Danio rerio: one gene and its partner. The protein of the gene in region 1 binds, or shares a complex with, the protein of each later gene. Links are inferred from orthologs where the notes say so. Each region holds a gene or a part of one and is shown on either strand. Other genes may lie near its edges. The genes, in order: rev1 and polh.

The links.
Region 2: the proteins of rev1 (region 1) and polh are in contact, whole or in part, in an NMR structure (PDB 2LSK), measured with the Homo sapiens proteins. The link is inferred for Danio rerio from reciprocal best matches to the Homo sapiens genes REV1 and POLH. Residues at the interface, in NP_057400.1 of Homo sapiens: Asn1158, Leu1159, Ala1160, Gly1161, Leu1171, Leu1172, Trp1175, Ile1179, Asp1181, Pro1182, Met1183, Glu1185, Asp1186, Gln1189, Val1190; in NP_006493.1 of Homo sapiens: Thr528, Glu529, Pro530, Phe531, Phe532, Lys533, Lys535, Ser536, Leu539.

What each region holds. Positions count from the first base shown.
Region 1 is NC_133184.1:23,410,938-23,420,348, reverse strand, and holds the start of rev1 (DNA repair protein REV1), read right to left. Parts: upstream 8,503-9,411; coding exon 8,446-8,502; intron 5,450-8,445; coding exon 5,317-5,449; intron 4,725-5,316; exon of another isoform or gene 4,691-4,724; coding exon of another isoform or gene 4,684-4,690; intron 1,753-4,683; coding exon 1,584-1,752; intron 1,508-1,583; coding exon 1,274-1,507; intron 1-1,273. UniProt on the Homo sapiens protein: Deoxycytidyl transferase involved in DNA repair. Transfers a dCMP residue from dCTP to the 3'-end of a DNA primer in a template-dependent reaction.
Region 2 is NC_133188.1:715,035-724,445, forward strand, and holds part of polh (DNA polymerase eta), read right to left. Parts: intron 8,686-9,411; coding exon 8,551-8,685; intron 7,584-8,550; coding exon 7,372-7,583; intron 6,676-7,371; coding exon 6,503-6,675; intron 4,491-6,502; coding exon 4,387-4,490; intron 4,200-4,386; coding exon 4,080-4,199; exon of another isoform or gene 3,237-4,079; intron 3,232-3,236; coding exon 3,108-3,231; intron 2,952-3,107; exon of another isoform or gene 2,681-2,951; coding exon 2,615-2,680; intron 1,804-2,614; coding exon 1,631-1,803; intron 836-1,630; coding exon 1-835. UniProt on the Homo sapiens protein: DNA polymerase specifically involved in the DNA repair by translesion synthesis (TLS). Due to low processivity on both damaged and normal DNA, cooperates with the heterotetrameric (REV3L, REV7, POLD2 and POLD3) POLZ complex for complete bypass of DNA lesions.

The DNA of each region.
Region 1 (9,411 bases):
AAGTCATCCAATAGATTACCCTAAAGGGCAACTATTTTAGCCTGGAGTATTTTGTGTCCCTAGAAGGTGTCTGTAAAGTTTCTGTTTGAAATTGAAGTTTGTTTGAAGATTTTTTTTTATTATACCTCTTTAAATCTGGGAAATCTGAGCTGTTAATGCATTGTAGCTGTTTTTGTTGCCTGTGCGTTTAATGCAAATGAGCTAGTTCTCCCCGCCCACCATTCCCACATGCATGTCAGAGCCACAGAGATCACTCCGATCCATGTAGCCTTAGATCAGTAGATCAGGGGTGCCCAAACTCGGTCCTGGAGGGCCGGTGTCCTGCATATTTTAGTTCCAACCGCAGTTAAAAACACCTGAACCAGCTAATCAAGCACTTAATAGGTATACTAGAAACTTCCAGGCAGATGTGTTGAAGTTGGGCCTAAACTATGCAGGACACCGGCCCTTCGTAGCCCTGACGTAGATAAACAGCACAGTGACAGACAAGAATGAAACAGATCTCCCTTACTGTTAATAGAAACAGTCCCAACTGTTAATTGATATATTTGTTGTGGAGTTAATTCAAGCCTTTCTGCAATGATGAGTCACACACAATGTTGTGTGAGCGCACACACGTTTTGTTTTGCACTGTTTTGTACGACAAATGTGACAGAAAACACATTAACATACACTGGTGTATGGATATCCGTTATGTGAATGTACAAAATAAACCTGACTCAAGTCTAATATAATCCATCTATTTACTTCAAATTAAGGAAAATTCTTCTGTCTGTACTTTGAAACATGACTTTTTTTCTGAATAGAAAGTTACATGCAGAGTCGTACATTTTCTTTATTAGGTAAAAAAAAGCGTGCTATAAAAAAAAATTCAAGGACAAAATAATTCACTTTTGATGTGGCCATAATAACAATTTTGTGCACATTCATTACTGCAGTATAATGTATTACTTGAATATGTGCACATTCTAATTCAGAATTTTCTCATTTTCAAAAATGTTTTTTTTTTGATAGAAACTTTCACATTTTTCATATCAGAGTAATAGACTTTCTGTTATAAATACTTATTTAACCGGTTAAATAGTTATATAACAAATGGAAAAGTAAATTAAACTGTTAATTAATAATTTGCGCTTTTTATAAATCTAATTATTTTTACATAAGTCTTGCATGAAAACAGAGGAAATCTAAATGTAAAAACTGGGAAAATAAAGGTGTTGAAATTTCCACCAATCCGTTTATTAAAAAACACCTTAGGATAAGGCACACTCACAGCCTGATATCCAGCTGGTGATCGGTTTTCTCAGTGTAGTTAGCCATGTGGTTAGCCTGAGTAGACTTGAGGACGTCTTTAGATAGAGTATGGCTCGGCTGAGGCTTGATGTCTGGTCCATGGTTGGATGACGGGTCCTGGCCTTCTATTCCAGAAACTCTGGTGAAATTTAATCCTTTCTGCTTCGCATAGAGCTGATACTGAATATATGATAGTTGGCGACCTGCTTTTATACTGCACAAAATGCAAGAAAAAAAAACTATTAGTATTGTGCTTCTGCAAACTGCAAAGTGCACACAAAGGCACCCACCTGTCTATGATCCACTCTGGCCGCACTACTTTCTCTCCTTTGAGCTCTTGTATTTTGAAGTTGGGCAGGTTGGTGGCAATGATGTGCGTGGTTTTGGAGCGAGAGTAATACAGATGAAATTGCCCACCATGCAACATCATAAGCCTGCGTAACTCAGCCGCACTGGGATCTACACACACACAAATACAAAACAAATACACTCAAAATGCAAGAGCAGTGGCCCAGTGCTCATCCTTCTGACTCTTTCAGCTGCACAGTTCATTTTGGAGTTTCTTTTTTAAAATATCATATGAATAACAATTCTGAACACAGCTGTTTTGTATTATCAATTTATAAAATAAATATGGTTATTTAATGAAACCTAATTATATACAGTTGAAGTCAGAATTATTAGCCCCCTTTTGATTTTTTTTCTTTTTTTAATATTTCCCAAATGATGTTTAACAGAGCACGAAAACTTTCACAGTATGTCTGATAATATTTTTTTCTTTTGGAGAAAGTCTTATTTGTTTTATTTCGGCTAGAATAAAAGCAGTTTTTAATTTTTTAAAAAACAATTTTGGGACAAAATTATTAGCCCCTTTAAGCTATTTTTTTTTGATAGTCTACAGAACAAACCATCGTTATACAATAACTTGCCTAATTACCCTAACCTACCTAGTTCACCTTATTAACCTAGTTAAGCCTTTAAATGTCACTTTAAGCTGTAAAGAAGTGTCTTGAAAAATATCAAGTAAAATATTATTTACTGTCATCATGACAAAGATTAAATAAATCAGTTATTAGAAATAGGTTTCTTAAACTATTATGCTTAGAAATGTGCTGAAACAATCCTCCCTCCATTAAACAGAAATTGGGGAAAAAAATAAACGGGGCGCTAATAAGTCAGGGGGCTAATAATTCTGACTTCAACAGTAAGTAAAAATAACCTTCTAAAAAGGAAATACAATAATTTTTGGAATATAAGCGGTTTATATTCCAAAGCAATTTATAGGGCCCTATTCACACCTGGTATTAAGATTCATTTTCTTCGATCTGATTATAAGTGGACAACGTTAAGTTCAGGTGTGAACAAGGTTTGAAACAGTTTGAACTTGTCCACTTTGACCATACTAATAGGTGGTCGAAAGCGAATTGCAGTTGTAGTGCAGACACAAATTTGGGTTAACGTGTTTGAACAGCCACAAAACACTGCCTTCTCTATGACTGTGATTCTTCTCTATGACTGTGATCTCATTCTTCAGTCTCATTTGAGACACAGTGGAGAGACTGTGATTTAAACTGTCATTGGTAATCTTAGAATTCATATTGGTGGCAATATGTTTAATTAATTTTTTTGGCAAAAATAAATACGAGGCAGCACGGTGGCTTAGTGGTTAGCACTGTAAAATCAAAGCAAGAAGGTCGCTGGTTCAAGTGCTGGCTGGGTCGGTTGGCATTTCTGTGTAGAGTTTGCATGTTCTCCCCGTGTTCGCGTGGGTTTTTTCTGGGTTTCCCCCACCGTCTAAAGACATGCAGTACAGGTAAATTGAATAAGCTAAATTGGCCGTAGTGTATGTGTGTGAATGTGAGAGTGTACTGGTGTTTCCCGGTACTGGGTTGCAGCTGGAAGGGCATCCGCTGTGTAAAACATGTGCTGGATAAGTTATCGGTAGATTTCACTGTGACAACCCCTGATGAATAAAGGGACTAAGCCAAAGGAAAACGAATGGATGAATGAAAAATAAATACATATTTGACTGCAAATTATTTTAAAATAGGCTACGGCTGCTTTCTCTTCAAACAGCAGCTTTCCTGCAGCGCCAACCAACAGGAGTTCTTTATAAGATACAATTTTGTGAATGTTTTATTTCATGTTTAAAGTCTTTAATGTGCCTTTACTAATAATATTCTATTCAAAGCAAAAATTCAGAGACTTTAGGTGATAGTGCATGTGTTGGATGTGTTAATGTGATTCCTGATCCTTTGCATATGCCTAATTATTTAAGTCAAAGATTTAATTTTTGATTTTAAATTGATATTTGTTAAACAAGTTTAATAAATACAAAAACATATAGACATTAAAACTAATTGGTTGATTGGAAATTAAATAAATCTATAATTATATCTATATATAAAGAAATTATATCTATAATTTAATTATTCGAGCCTTTGCATTAAGCATATTTACAGGTTATATACAGCATATTTTTTTTGCACAGCATAAAATTTGCACTAGCTTTGGCAGTATTAAGCCTCAATCACACTACGAGCGACTCGCAGCAGCACAGCAACAAACAGCCGTTCATTTCAACAGACAGTGAGCGGATTCCGGCGATCTCCATTTATGCAAGTGACAGCAACCGCTGGCGATCAGGTAGGCTTGTCGAGTGACGTGACAAAGTTGAGAATCTGTAAACTTTATGCAAATGAAGAGTGACTTTCTTGAGGGACGACAGCCAATAGGAGCACCAGTAGAGCTCATGTGATCCTCTCTCAGCTCCTGCAGAGGCGAGTTGTATTTTTTGGTGCTGTAGGCCTACATAGAACTGCGTATGCAGCAGGTCATCACCCAGAGCGACAGGCAGCTACAAAGTCACTGCCAGTGTGAAAGAGGCATTAGATTGAAAGTTCAAAGAAAAACAATACCTGCCCACAGACCCTCCATTATTAGAGGGTCAAAAATGGACAAAAGAAACCTTTAAATGCAGGGTCTGAATGGTAATGTTTGCTTTGACCACTTGTGATCACATCATGAAAATGTATCTTGATACCAGGTGTGAACAGGGTCTATAATGCAGTTTACATCAAGCAAGCAAACCATGCAAAAGCATGCAACATTTGAAGGCAAATGAGAGAGTCATGTGAGTATTTGTACCCACACACCCCTAGTTTCAGATTTGCTCAGGCTTGACATTAATAATAAATGTTGTCTATATGAAATGCTGGTATCACTTCTGATCATTTGATACAGAATTTATTTATGTTCTGTAGGTCGGTACCTAAAAAAATTGAAAAAAAAAAACTATACATTTAATTTGCTGGGTGTTCACACTCTCATTTTTAAGATAAAAACACTAACTACAAGTTTTTATGACATGTATTGTGCAGAATAACTTACGGAACATCCCAAACAATGCTGTGTGCTTGACCAGGAAGCCCCTGTGTCACACACACAAATGATAATCTGCTGCAAGGAGAAGCGTTTCTGACACCTTTATTGAACTGTACTGGGACATTTTGTGACTATAAAGAGAATAATCCGTTATGCTTGAGCATTATGTCCATTTCTTTGGTCACATTTTGTGACATCACATCTATTGTCCATATTTCAGACAAGCCACAATAGAATTCATTTAAAAGAAGGCCAAAACCAGTCTTCTCAGGGCTTTTTGTCCACTTGTTTGGTGTACACCAAGGTTTAGATGACTGCATTCAAGCATTTATAGGTTTGTTCAAAATAAACCTGGACACACCCTAAAATACAAGTTTAAAAAAATAGTGTACAAAATAACCCCTGAATAAAATTGTAAAAGTGAAATATGTACAAAAATCCTTTTATATATTTACTCTCTTAGACTTGACGCAATATCTATAGTCAGGTGCAACAAATCATCCAGATACTGCCATAATAATAGTAATGACGATGATTATGGTGATGCTGAACATGCACAATGCAGTACAAGGGATTTCATTGGAGTAAGAAAGTTTATTTCCACAGCACATTGCAGAGGGGATGCTGGGAGAGTCTGACCTGTGTATCCATTGACATAGATGGCCACACCGCTGAAGATGCAGGAGGACTTTCCATCTTTCTTCTGCTCTCTCGGGGCATCCTTCTGAAACTGCTCCTCAAGCTTAGAGACTTTTGCAGCCATGTAACCTCCCTGAGTAAAAATTCAACAAACAAGATTTTTATTTCAAAGCCTATTCACGTCAACACAGGCTTGCAAGCTCAAGAGCTAAGACAAAGCATACAGCACAAGCTGACCACACACACACGCACACACCTTAATAGAAAAAAAACCCACACAATTCTAACCTCTGGAAATGAACAGACTGCAATACAGGCACACACACAAAGGAAAATGTGCAGCGTCTGGCTGACAAGCGTTTGATTACGCCTCAGACATTCAATGAGACTGGAGGTGCAAGTCTGCCCTGCTGGCACGGCGACTCTCTGTCTCCATGGCAACGGAGGGAACGCTGGGATTCAAGAGTTGAGCTTGAACCAATAAACAGACTCTCACACACACTGAAAAATACTCCTGAAAACACTCACTTGCTGGAGGCATCCCTGAACCTAATTTATATCAATCAGAGAGATCAACACACACACACACACACACACACACACACACACACACACACACACACACACAACAACAACACACCTGAGAGACAACACTCTGAGAGATCAACACACACACACACACACACACACACACAACCTAAAGCAAATAAAGGTTTTGCGTAGACATATGCTGATGTCCAATAATGCCATACACTGTGATCATGAACGTGCACAATATATTGATGCTGTGGGTTTTTAAAATAATGTAAATAATTATTTAGAATTTCAACTTTCAGATTACCATTAAAGGATATTTATATTGTTGTATCTGCACTGCAGTGTACATCACAGCACCAAACGCTTCAAGCCTTAATAGACAATTTATGATCAGCTTCCATTCAACGTCAGCTAACCTAACTACAGTCAATGTAATGATATAAAAGCATTGATTAACCTTAGGCAAAGACTATAGAATACACAAGATGCGTCACTCGTATAGTTTTGAATGGAGAAAAGTGTTACAGTCAATATGGCGAATGAAGCCCCGCCTACTAGTACAGGAGCTAATCATCAAATCTCTATAGACTGACGTGTCTCCAGTATAAACGAATGTGAAGTACAGTCAGTCCTGTCAAACACACATCATGAGACAGCAATTACTCAAAGTGTAAACATAGAATCGATTTCACTACTGGAGAAGATTTGCTATCAAGACCAAGCTGTGGATTATTTCAGATGACCAGTGCGACTACATGATCATTATCCAGAGGACAACACTGTGTGATGTGTAACACTGCCGTAAATGAGGTTGGTGTTGTGATCTCATTCCTTTCGAGTTTGCATGCGCACTAGCTCTGGCAACTTGAAAATATGCAGATTTTGTTTAATTCAGACGTTTAGAAACGAAACTTATGAAACAACTGTTGTTTAATTTTACTGTTGACTCCAAATATGTAATATAATTATAAGCTTGGCAAACAATTTTGAAAAATTTGATGTTTCTCCATTCAGATGGAATGCTCGAAAATACAGCCCAAGAGGCGTTTCAAACAAGGCCGCTAAGTGAAATGACTTGCCTTAAAGGGACATTAACTTATTAGCGAACACCTAATAATGCATTAAAATCAAATGTAGTCATCTTTTTATTAAATGGAGTTATTAACTAGGGCTGCAAGGTGGCTCACTTTCAACTCATATTAAGAAGATGCCTGGTTCAAGTCCCAGCTGGAGTTTGCACACTCTCATTTCCCCCACAATCCAAAGACATGCGGTATAGTATAGGTAGATATGATTGGCCATAGCGTATGATTGGATGAATGAGCAAGCGTATGGCTTTTTTGGGCTGCTAAAACAACTAAATGAATGTAGTTTATCCTGCTTTTTAAATGCCTATTGCCATAAATGTCAAAATTAGACATTAAACATTTTCTGAGCCATAATAAATTAATAAAGATGAAGCTGATAGAAACAAAACCAGCTGAAAGGTGCATACACTGACCTAGTATGTACTATTAACTCACAAAATGCTGCCAAACCATCAAAAACAATAGCAGAGACAGACATGCAAATGATTCAGAAGCAATCGTATTAACTGACAGTCAGGATGATTCAAATACATGGATGAGCCTGTATTATTAGTTTCAGTGATTTTTTACCTCAGCTCAGAATGTTGAGATTGGCCAATCAAAATCAAGCATTCCAGACAGCAGTGCGATAACAGCTAATAAATTTCAGCTATATTTTTCTAAATTAACTTTAATATATAAAATGCATTTTTACAGTAGATTTTAATGCATTGATTAACATTTACTAATGGTACTTTTTTGTAAAGTATTACCTATTGTACCTATCTTCCATTTACAATTTAATTGGCTTAAAACATTCATTTATTCTGAACATGTATATAGACAATAAAGCAATCAAATATTTTGGTTATAATATATTTTTGCAGCTTAGGTCAATAATACTATACATCATCATAAAACCTTCAGCAATTAATTGCAACAAAAAATTATATTGTCAGAAGCCTATTTCTGTGTTTAATCACACTTACACAGTAAAATACATAGTACATTTACTTAAAAATCACACATTTCTGGTCTCAAATTGTGCGGTAAAACAGTTCTACTGGTTAGAACTAAGATTGTTATTTTATTAGTGAAGACAGAAGCTTGTGGAGTTGTTTATATTAGTGTGGTTCTGCTAATGCCTGAAGAACATGAAGATGCCGAAGCTTGTCAAATCTCTAGCTGGGTCTGGACTGTGGCGACTGAGCAGAGGTGCTGGTCAGCAGTGAAGAAAATTGAGATTACTCACTGGTGTAATACAAATGAAAATCTGTCTAGACTTCAGCAGCAACACACACACAAAGCATGATGGGTGATGTACAAACAGCAGAAAGGCAATTAATAGTTAAAAGGAAATCTATGGATAAGTTCTATTATTTACATAATGTTCAGTTTTTACAAAGACAGATAGCAAAGACAACACGGGATATATACGAAGACGATTCAGCTCTGAGATAAAACAGCTGTTGAGCCTTTCCTGCTCTCAATAAACACATTTCTGCGTAAATAACTAAACTCTTACCTGTCCTCCCCACCCATCATTTTCACTGGCTTTCTTCCTCCATCCATCTCGACTCATACTGAGGGACCTAAAAGACAACAATTCAAAAGAATGAGCCCAAAACTGAAAGCGTGAGTGGCTGAAAATAGACACGGAAAACAAAAAACAAGCACGCACATCTGTTCTCCTCTTTGCACTCATTTATTAGTATGCAGATGAGTGACTCTTAATAAGAAATAATACATCTGAAACCCTGAATAAAGAATAAGTTGTGTCTCTTTTGCTTATAATATAGCACTATTCACAATGCACACGGTTTCAAACCTTTAATGTTTAGATAATATTTCCATGCTTTATTATAGTCACAATACTTTGCTGCAATTATTTTAATAAAGTGTAGTATTTTAGAGTTAACAAAATAAAACACAACTATAGAATGAGGAATTGAACGATAATGGATGTCTCCCAGCCACTTTTATTTTATTTGTTTTTTATGCTATTTACAGACACAGTGGCACCTCAGACAATCAAACTGAAAACACTTACTGTCTAGCACAATAAATGTGCAATAGCATATCCACTTTATTACTTTGCTGTGCAATGCATTTTTGCAGATTGCAACTGATTACATTTAATAAACTAAAAATCTAAAGATATATCGGAATATAACAGCCATTACTGTAAACAATGACAAATATCGTAAAATAAAACGAAAAAATCTGCTTCCTTTTGTTTCTTTAAAAGGACAGCATATAACATTTTACAAGTACAAAGACATACATGCCAGGGGGTATAAACATAACACAAATATACAGAATGTACATAAGTAATAAATCAAATAGTTACAGTGCTAAGCATTTATAAGTACACCTAATATCTTTTAAATTCAGATGTTTAATAGGAAGCTATACAATATTATATTTGTGCATATATATTAGATTAGTCAGTACTGAAGCTAAATCTGGAGTTTATCTAACAATATAACTT
Region 2 (9,411 bases), on another chromosome or scaffold:
CACCTTCATCCCGCAGCGCTCGCACACCTGCAGATCCTCCTCTGCTGGAGAACACACACGCTCGCCTGCAGGAGCCACAGCCTGCTGGAAACAGCCGGACATTCCTGACGTGCTTCTCTCAGACGTTTGGTCTCTGGATGTGTTTTCTGCTGGAGCACGGATGTTAGGATCTCCAGTGCAGGGAGAGTTCTGGATCCTGTGCTTCTCCAGACTCTTCATCTGGAAGAACGAGGAGATTCCTGCAGGGCTTTCATCAGAGGTTTGCTCTCTGGGTGGGTTTTCTCCTGGAGCCCGAACGCTCTGATCTCCAACACAGAGAGAGTTCTGGATCTGGTGTTTCTCCAGACTCTTCATCTGGAGGGACGTGGAGATTCCTGCAGGTTTCTCCCTGCATGTGTTTTCTTCTGGAGCACAAACGCTCTGGTCTTCATCATCGAGGCTGACGTTCTGGATCTCCTGTTTCTCCAGGCTCTCTCTCTGGAGGAATGTGGAGATTGCTGTGGTTTTCTGAGCGGCTGTATCTCCGCATGCATGTTCTCCTGAAGCACTCGTGCTCTGATCTCCAGGGCAGAGAGAGTTCTGGATCTCCTGTTTCTCCAGGCTCTTCCTCTGGAAGAATGCGGATATACTAGTGGTGTTCTCGCGCTGGCGCTGGTCCTGCTGTCGTTTCCTCTTCTGCGCTGGTCTCTCCATCGGGCTCCGCTGGCTGCTGGAGCTCTGTGATGGAGATGAAGCCGCGTCGCTGCTCAGGAAGCCGGTTATTCCTGCAGATGAGGATGAGGGAGCGTCGCTGAACTTACTGGCGGACAGATGGAGAAGAGTCAGCGCTGGAGACCTGAGGAGACGCAAGCCTGGATTACACTCGACACATCTGCAACTTCACTTGGGTTGTTCAAGCTTTGTGTGTGTTCGAGTGAGCATGTTTGTGTGTGTGTGTGTGTGTGTGTGTCAGTAAGCATGTTTGTGTGTGTGTGTGTGTGTGTGTGTGTGAAAGCATGTTTGTGTGTGTGTGTTTGTGTGTGAGTGTATTTGTGTGTGTGTGCAATTGTGTGTGTGTGTGTGAGAGAGCATGTTTGTGTTTGTGTGTGTATGTGTGTATTTGTGTGTGTGTGTGTGTGAGCATGTTTGTGTTTGTGTGTATTTGTGTGTGTGTGAGAGCATGTTTGTGTTTGTGTGTGTGTGTGTGTGTGAGAGAGAGAGCATGTTTGTGTGTGTATGTGTGTATTTGTGTGTGTGTGTGAGCATGTTTGTGTGTGTGAGTGCGTGTTTGTGTGTGTGAGTGCGTGTGTGCACGCAAGTGTGCATGAGTGTGTTTGAGCAAGTGTGTGAGCATGTTTGTGTGTGAGCAAATGAGTGAGTGAGTGAGAGTATGTGTGTGTGTGTGAGTGTGTGCGCGGGTGCAAGTGTTTGTTTGTATGTGTGTGTGTTTAAGCAAATGTGTGTGAGTGTGTTTAAGCGTGTGTGTGAGTGTGTTTGAGCATGTTTGTTTGTATGTGTGTGTGTGTGTGTGTGTGTGAGCAAGTGAGTGTGTGTGTTAGTGCGCATGAGTGTCTGTGTTTGTGAGAAAGTGTGTGTGCACACGCGTGAGTGAAAGCAGAAGTGTGTGTGTGTGTGTGTGTGTGTTCCTCACCAGGCCTCCTGGTGTGCTCCAGCAGTGTTCAGGCTCTTGATGATGGTCAGGCTGTCGTTGGTCATCTTCATCGCATCATAGCGCACGAGAGCACAGCAGCGCGAGAAACTGCCTGACCTCTGACCTCCAGCCTGACGCACACCCACCGTCAGCTGCCGGGCCACTCGACCGTTCTGGAGAAAACACACACACACACACACACACCTGAGGTGACGCATGCAGTCTTGTGAAAATGTTTGTACACCCTATTGAACATCATGAGTTATGTATATGGAGACATCAAAGATCACACATTATCCCACATTAGGGTGTCACAGTGGCGCAGTGGTTAGCATGATCGCCTCACAGCAAGAAGGTCTCTGGTTTGAGTCCCGACTGGGTCAGTTGGTGTTTCTGTGTGGAGTTTGCATGTTCTCCCTGTGTTGTCGTGGGTTTCCTCCGGGTGCTCCGGTTTCCCCCACAGTCCAAACACATGCGCTATAGGGGAACTGATCAACTAAAGTGGTCATAGTGTATGGCTGTTTCCCAGTACTGGGTTGCAGCTGGAAGGACATCCACTGCATAAAACATATGCTGGATAAAGTTGGCGGTTCATTCCGCTGTGGCGATCTCTGATTAATAAAGGGACTAAGCTATTAGTGCTGGATTTATCAGGATTAATTGCATCCAAAATCAAAAGTTTGTTTTGCCATTATATATGTGTGTGTGTGTGTGTGTGTGTGTGTGTGTGTGTGTGTGTGTGTGTGTGTGTGTGTGTGTGTAACAAAACCTTTTTTTACACAGATATTTCAACTTACATGCAATTTGTTTCAAATACATAAATATTTTATATCGAAACACAAATAAACATTCTCTCAATATCTGCATGCGTGTGTTTGTGTTTATATATACATTATCAATATACACAGTAATATACTGATTGATTGATGAAGGATTTAAATATGAATGTGAGACGCAGCAGTGTGTGTGTGTGTGTGTACTCACCACATCTCTGTCTTTATTGAGTCTCTCCTCTAACTCTAGAGCCAGCTGATGGAGCCAGTACTGAACCTGCAGAGAGAACAGAGCGTCAGTATGTGCACACACAGACACACACACACACACACACACACACACACACACAACACACAAATACAAATTCACACAAACATAAATATATATATATATATATATATACAAACAACTCAACCAAACACACACACAAAAAACACACACAACACATACACACAGACAAACAACACAATCAAATACGCACACACACACACACACAATTGCACATTCACACAAACATTAAATATATACAAACAATCAATTGCACACACTCAGAAACAACTCGGATACATGAACAACCAAACACACACTCTCATGTGCATACACACACAAACAAATACACACACACACAATTGCATTTCTCTCTCTTTCTCTCTCACACACACACACACACACACACACACACACACACTCTCTCTCCCTCCACCTGTTGTTTTGTGCGCAGGCAGGTTTTCCCAGCGAAGTTCTTGCTGCAGCCGATGGATTTGGGCAGCTGACGAGGCTTCACCGGCTCAAACTCAATCCCTCGACACAGATCATAGAGCCACGGCCTGACAACACACACACACACACACACACAGGCACCACACACACACACACACACACACACACACACACACACACACACACGCGCGCACGCACGCACACATACAGAGACACACACACGCACGCACACACACACACACACACAGAAACACACAGACACACACACAGACATGCACGCACAAACGCACGAACACACACACACATACAGAGACACACACACACTCACGCACACATACACATACAGAGACACACACGCACGCACACACACACAGAAACACAGACACGCACGCACACACGCACGCACACACACAAACACGCACGCACACACACACGCACACAAACACGCATGCATGCACGCACACATACACACAGACAGACACACACAAACACGCGCACACACACACACACACAACACACACACACACACACACACGCACGCACACACACACACGCACGCACACACACACACACAACACACACACACACACACACACACGCACGCACACACACACACACAGAAACACACACACATGATTCACTAATGTCTTTTTTTTCTTCTGTTTTCCTTTTAAATCTGCTTCATCAAGTTTAATGATGTTTATTCTGTTGTTCTGATCTACACGTGTATTTGATCTTCTTTTTCTTGTAAAGCACTTTGAGTCAGTCATGTGTGTGTGTGAAACCTGCAGCAGAAATAACCTCGCCTGCTTAATTGAATATTCTGTCCAGTTCAAGTTGTCAAACTCATTAAGTCCATGATAAAGCTGCATATGATGAGTGTCTGAATGAATATCAGCTGATTTCAGATCTGTACATGGCTTTATTTATCTTCTCTCCGTGTGTGTTTGCTCACCCGGTCTTGTCCCCGAAGTGCTGCTCCAGCTGGGCTCTGCTGAACCGGGTCAGATCTCCCATGTTCTCCACACTCAGAGTCTCCGTGATGGACGAGCCCAGCTTCCCTCCCAGATTACGACTGAGCACAACATACACATGTGGAAACACACGTGTTCATGAGGTACAGGCAGTGCTGGGTGTGCTTATCTAAAACCACTGACTATAATTAAATACTTATTCACTGAGAAATAAAGCGAGGCAGTACTGTTCAAGTCACTGAAGTCATTCGAAGAGGAATTTTACTGACATGATTAGCGATCACTTACATTTTGCTGATGGGAAGAGTGCTGAAGAGTTGAGGAACGGAGCTCAGCGGCAACACGGTTTGGCGATTGGGTTTGTTTAGTCCGCATGCCAGCTTGGCCAACACCTGAGAGACAAACCCAGAAACATTAGAGTTCAATGAAAACAAAAACCAACATACAGTTCATCAGTCTTCACATTTAAGATGGAGAGACTGATTATAACTGGGAATAAATGTAGTATAAACATGTCAAACAGCAGGCAGCGACGTCAACAAATCACTGTGGAGAATGAAGCAACAGATACTAGCCAACGGTTTCAACTTTAGCAGAATTTCTGTGTGTGTGTTTATGTGTGTGTGTTTTTGTGACATATCAGGACACAAATCTGTATAATGACATGGGTATGACACAGGTATTACAAAAAGCAGGTGAAATATGGGGACATTGGTGACGTCCTCATTACTCAAAAAGCTTATAAATCACACAGGATGAGTTTAATCAGAGAGTAAAGCTGCACACTGACTCCTGTGATGATTAGGGGTGGGGTGGGGTGAGGGCAATACAATATACGGTTTGAACAGTATAAAACAGTACAAAAACAAACGTGTGTGTGTGTGGCCAGTTTGTTGTGATTGTTTTTAACATATAGAGAATGCAATAAATTACTTTCATATTTCAAGGTGCAAAGTGTCAACTTATATTCTCAATACAAGTCAATTAATCTTAAAAAGTTGTAAAAATTCCTTAGTAATTAAAAGGATGACAAATGAGATAATGAAATTTGTAAATTACATATTTATCATGCAGGTGTGGATTGATGTTTGCATTTTAAACACACACACACACACACACACACACACACACACACACACATATACAGTTGAGGTCAGAATTATTAGCTCACCATTGCATTTTTTTTGTTTTTTAATATTTCCCAAATGATGTTTAACAGAGCAAGGAAATGTTCACAGTATGTCTGATAATATTTTTTCTTCTGCAGAAAGTTTTATTTGTTTCATTTCAGCTAGAGTAAAAGCATTTTTATTTTTTTAAACACCATTTTCAACTCAATATTATTATCCCCTGTAAGCTATATTTTTTCTAGATCGTCTACAGAACAAACCATCATTATACAATGACTTGCCTAGTTACCCTAATTACCCTAGTGAAGCCTTTACATGTCACTTTAAGCTGTATAGAAGTGTCTTGAAGAATATTTAGATGTCATGATGACAGTAAATAATATGAGACTAGATCTAACCATCTAGACTAACCATCGGCGCAATACCGCTCTTTGTTATGAGACGCAGTTTCAGTGTAAACTTAGTAAAGGCGAGCTTCTTTGGCGATGATATGAACAGTATTAGATTTGACTTTTAGCGGACATTTGCGCTGAACACGCAGTGAATGCAAAGCATGGAGATTCGGGCGCCTTCTCCAAGAAGCGCGTAATCGATTGATCTCAGCTAGCGGATCATTATTCACCACGTGACGTGTCATGATCGCTCTCATCTGCGCCTCAACTTTAGGTGGGGTTTGCAAACCTGTGTGCTTTAAGTTTTTACTCTTCAGCCGTTTGCATTTCCCGTGGTCATCAAGCTCCTTCCCTGTCATCTGACAGCGGAATACCTTGAGGGATTGACAGCTAATATGAACCAATATAGCGGCAGGGAAGAGCGATTCAGCACGTTTTTACAAAAAAATCAAAACAGGTCGCACTACAACCATTATCAGCAGTCGCACTAATGCGCCCAAATATACTATGAGGTCGCATAGATTAATTTTCGGGCGCATATGCGACCAAAATGGTCGCAATTTCGAGCCCTGTTATATATGCACACATATTTCAAAATGCTGCAAACAAATCCGAGTTTGCATGTTCATTTGCAATAATTACAACAACAAATACGCACATATAATTTGATATACAGTATATGTTCATATTGAGTCATGTATTAGATTTCTGTATGTATCAGACAATTAAAGGCCATAATTGCAATTATTTTAAACAGCTTGATACAATAAGGGAATCATGCTGGGTTTGGGTTTATATAGCTTATTTTGCGCTTCATGACCACGACTGAACACCCGCTAACTGTAAATGTAGAAAGAGACGTAGAAATTCTCTTATATCCACCTTGTTGTGTGAGATACCGGCGGAGCAGCGAAACCCGGTGTGTTCCTCCACAGCAGCCCTCATCTGCTCCACTATCAGAGCCCCGACGGCCAGACGCAGATCCGCAGGTGAAGATTCAGTGCTGGAGGACAGAAGATCCAGCCACTGCTGCAGACCTGCGGCCCGCTGCGCATCTGCACAAACACAACACACAGCGGTGGGAAGAGGATGAGGAAACAGCTCACTCAAGTAAAAGTACCATTACATTACACAGAAAACAAGATTTAAAGATTTTCCACTTGACTAGATCTTAATTAAGTCATTCAAACATCTCTTGAAGCCTCTCTATAGGTTTACTCCAGGGGTGTCCAATCTCGGTCCTGGAGGGCCGGTGTCCTGCAGATTTTAGCTCCAACTTGCCTCAACACACCTGCACGGATGTTTCTAGAAAGCCTAGTAAGAGCTAGCCCAGGTGTGTCTGATTGGGGTTGGAACTAAATTTCGCAGGACACCGGCCCTCCAGAACCGAGTCTGGACACCCCTGGTTTACTCTCTACTGGACAGTTGGTCTCGAGCATCCGCCATTTTTGTAGTTTGTTTACACTTTTCCCCTGAATTTGTAGTTCTAATTGAATTCACATGGAGGGTGGGGACGTAACGGTATCAAAATGACGGTATTTACAATAGCGTTACATCCCTAATGGTGGGCAATATTAGCAGTTAGAGTAGGGACATCTCTACACTTCACATTTCTACCAGAAATACTAGACCATCTGGACCCTTTGGCGAACTCTATATAGTGTACCAACAATAGTGAAGGGTAAAACTGACCCTGTGTTTACATTTTTGGGTGAACTGTCTCTTTAATACCAGGTGAGAACAGGGCTGACCTCTGTCCAGGTGTGTGTTCTCCTGCTGTGTAGGGAAACCCTGAATGTGTGTGTTCTTCAGCTGCTGCGCCGTGATGTCCTGCACACTGGTGTTCTTCAGGCGCTCCTGAACGCTGGCCGTCAGGTCCATATAGGCCTCGTCAATGCTGGCTCTCTCGATCACAGCGAAGCGGGACATCACCTCGATCACCTCCACACTCGCCTCCCTGTAGCTGAAACACACACACACGCGCACACAAACACAAGGTCCAAAAAATACTATGTTAGGGATACATATTAAATAGGGGTGGCACAGTGGTTAGCACTAAGGTCACTGGTTCGAGTCCCAGCTGGGTCAGTTGGAGTTTCTGTGTGGAGTTTGCATGTTCTCCAAGTGTTGGCGTGGGCTTCCTCTGGGTGCTCCGGTTTCCCCCACAGTCCAAACACTATAGGGGAACTGATGAATTAATGTGGCCATAGTGTATGAGTGTATGAGTGTGTGTGTGTGAGTGTGTTTGTGTGTGTGTGTTTGTGTGTTTGTGTGTGTTTGTTTGTGTTTGTTTGTGTTTGTGTTTGTGTGTGTGTGTGTGTGTGTGTGTGTGTGTGTGTGTGTGTGTGTGTGTGTGTGTGCGAATAAGTGTGTATAGGTGTTTCCAAGTGGGTTGCTGCTGGAAGGGCATGGGCTCCATAAACAATATGCAGGGATAGTTGGTGGTTCATTCCGCTGTGGAGACCCCTGATGAATAAGGGGACTAAGCCGAAGGAAAATGAATAAATGATAAATATTAAATAAAAGATTCATAAACAGGATCCCAGTCACAATTTAAATGTATTTTATTTGGATTCCTAAAGATATTCGGTGACCAAACTCTTAATTTAATGCATGTATCTGATTAATCAAACTGTTTAGTTTAAATGCACCAAAACATATTGGCTATATTTATTGAAAAAAATGATAAATAAAAATAAAAATGTGCTTTTTTCAAAGGAGGTGTGCTCATTTATGCTGAGCACTGTGCGCTTTTAATTATTAGAAACACAAATAGACATAATTAATATGTCTTATATCTGACATGGAGTTCTGTATGGGACTATTCATTGCAATTAATCGCAATAAATTCTTTGACATTTAATCTTCATCTAAATTGTAATTAGAAAGTAATAACTGTTGAAGTGGCTCTGAGAATAAACAGCTCTTACTGTGTGAGATCCGCCTTCCCGTGAGCCTCTGGGACCCGAGCCACCTGCAGATCTGGACACAGCTTTCTGGCATCATCCGCGAACATGTTCCTGCCGACTCCATGAGCTCTGGCCTCGTAACTCACCGCTATAATGCTGGACACAGTAATCACAGCACTTTAACACAGATCCTCTGAGGAAGACTGAGGTCCAGTTGGCTTTATTTTCACACAAGTGTTCATTTTAATGCTCTCTATAGTGTTTACGGCTACTTTAAATGTTGGGTCTGAAATTCAAAACAACATCAGCACTATTTATTATTATTATTATTAACTGACTAAACAATGTTGTGCTTTGATATTCACTGAATATATTCTGAATGTGTGAATATAAAGCCAATGTTTACCTCATTATCACATTATCAGCCGGTGGCTATCAAAATACAACACTGATCACAGTCAGTAAATAGTGCTGATGTTGTTTTTACTCATACTTACATGCTGTTTCACACCCAATATTCAAAATACCATGGTAAACTATACAGGGAGGGTGTCAGGAGTCGTCACTGAATGAATGTGCAAATATAAAACCAACTTTACCCCAATAAAGATTACTATAGTATATTTGTAATGTAGGTCGGTAACATTACTAAACTAATAAAATGCATTACACATGTCTTTTTAAATCATGTATTTGAAATCTGTAGTGAAATAAAGCTCCCAGCTCTGATTATAATGTATATTTCTGCTTATATCTGTGCTGTTTTGCTCATTTCTGAGCAGTTTTTCTGTCAGTTTTCTATTGGGGTGAAGTTGGTTTAATATGCTGAAGCATTAATTGAGTATTTTAAATGCTCTAATATACAGTATAATACACTTTACT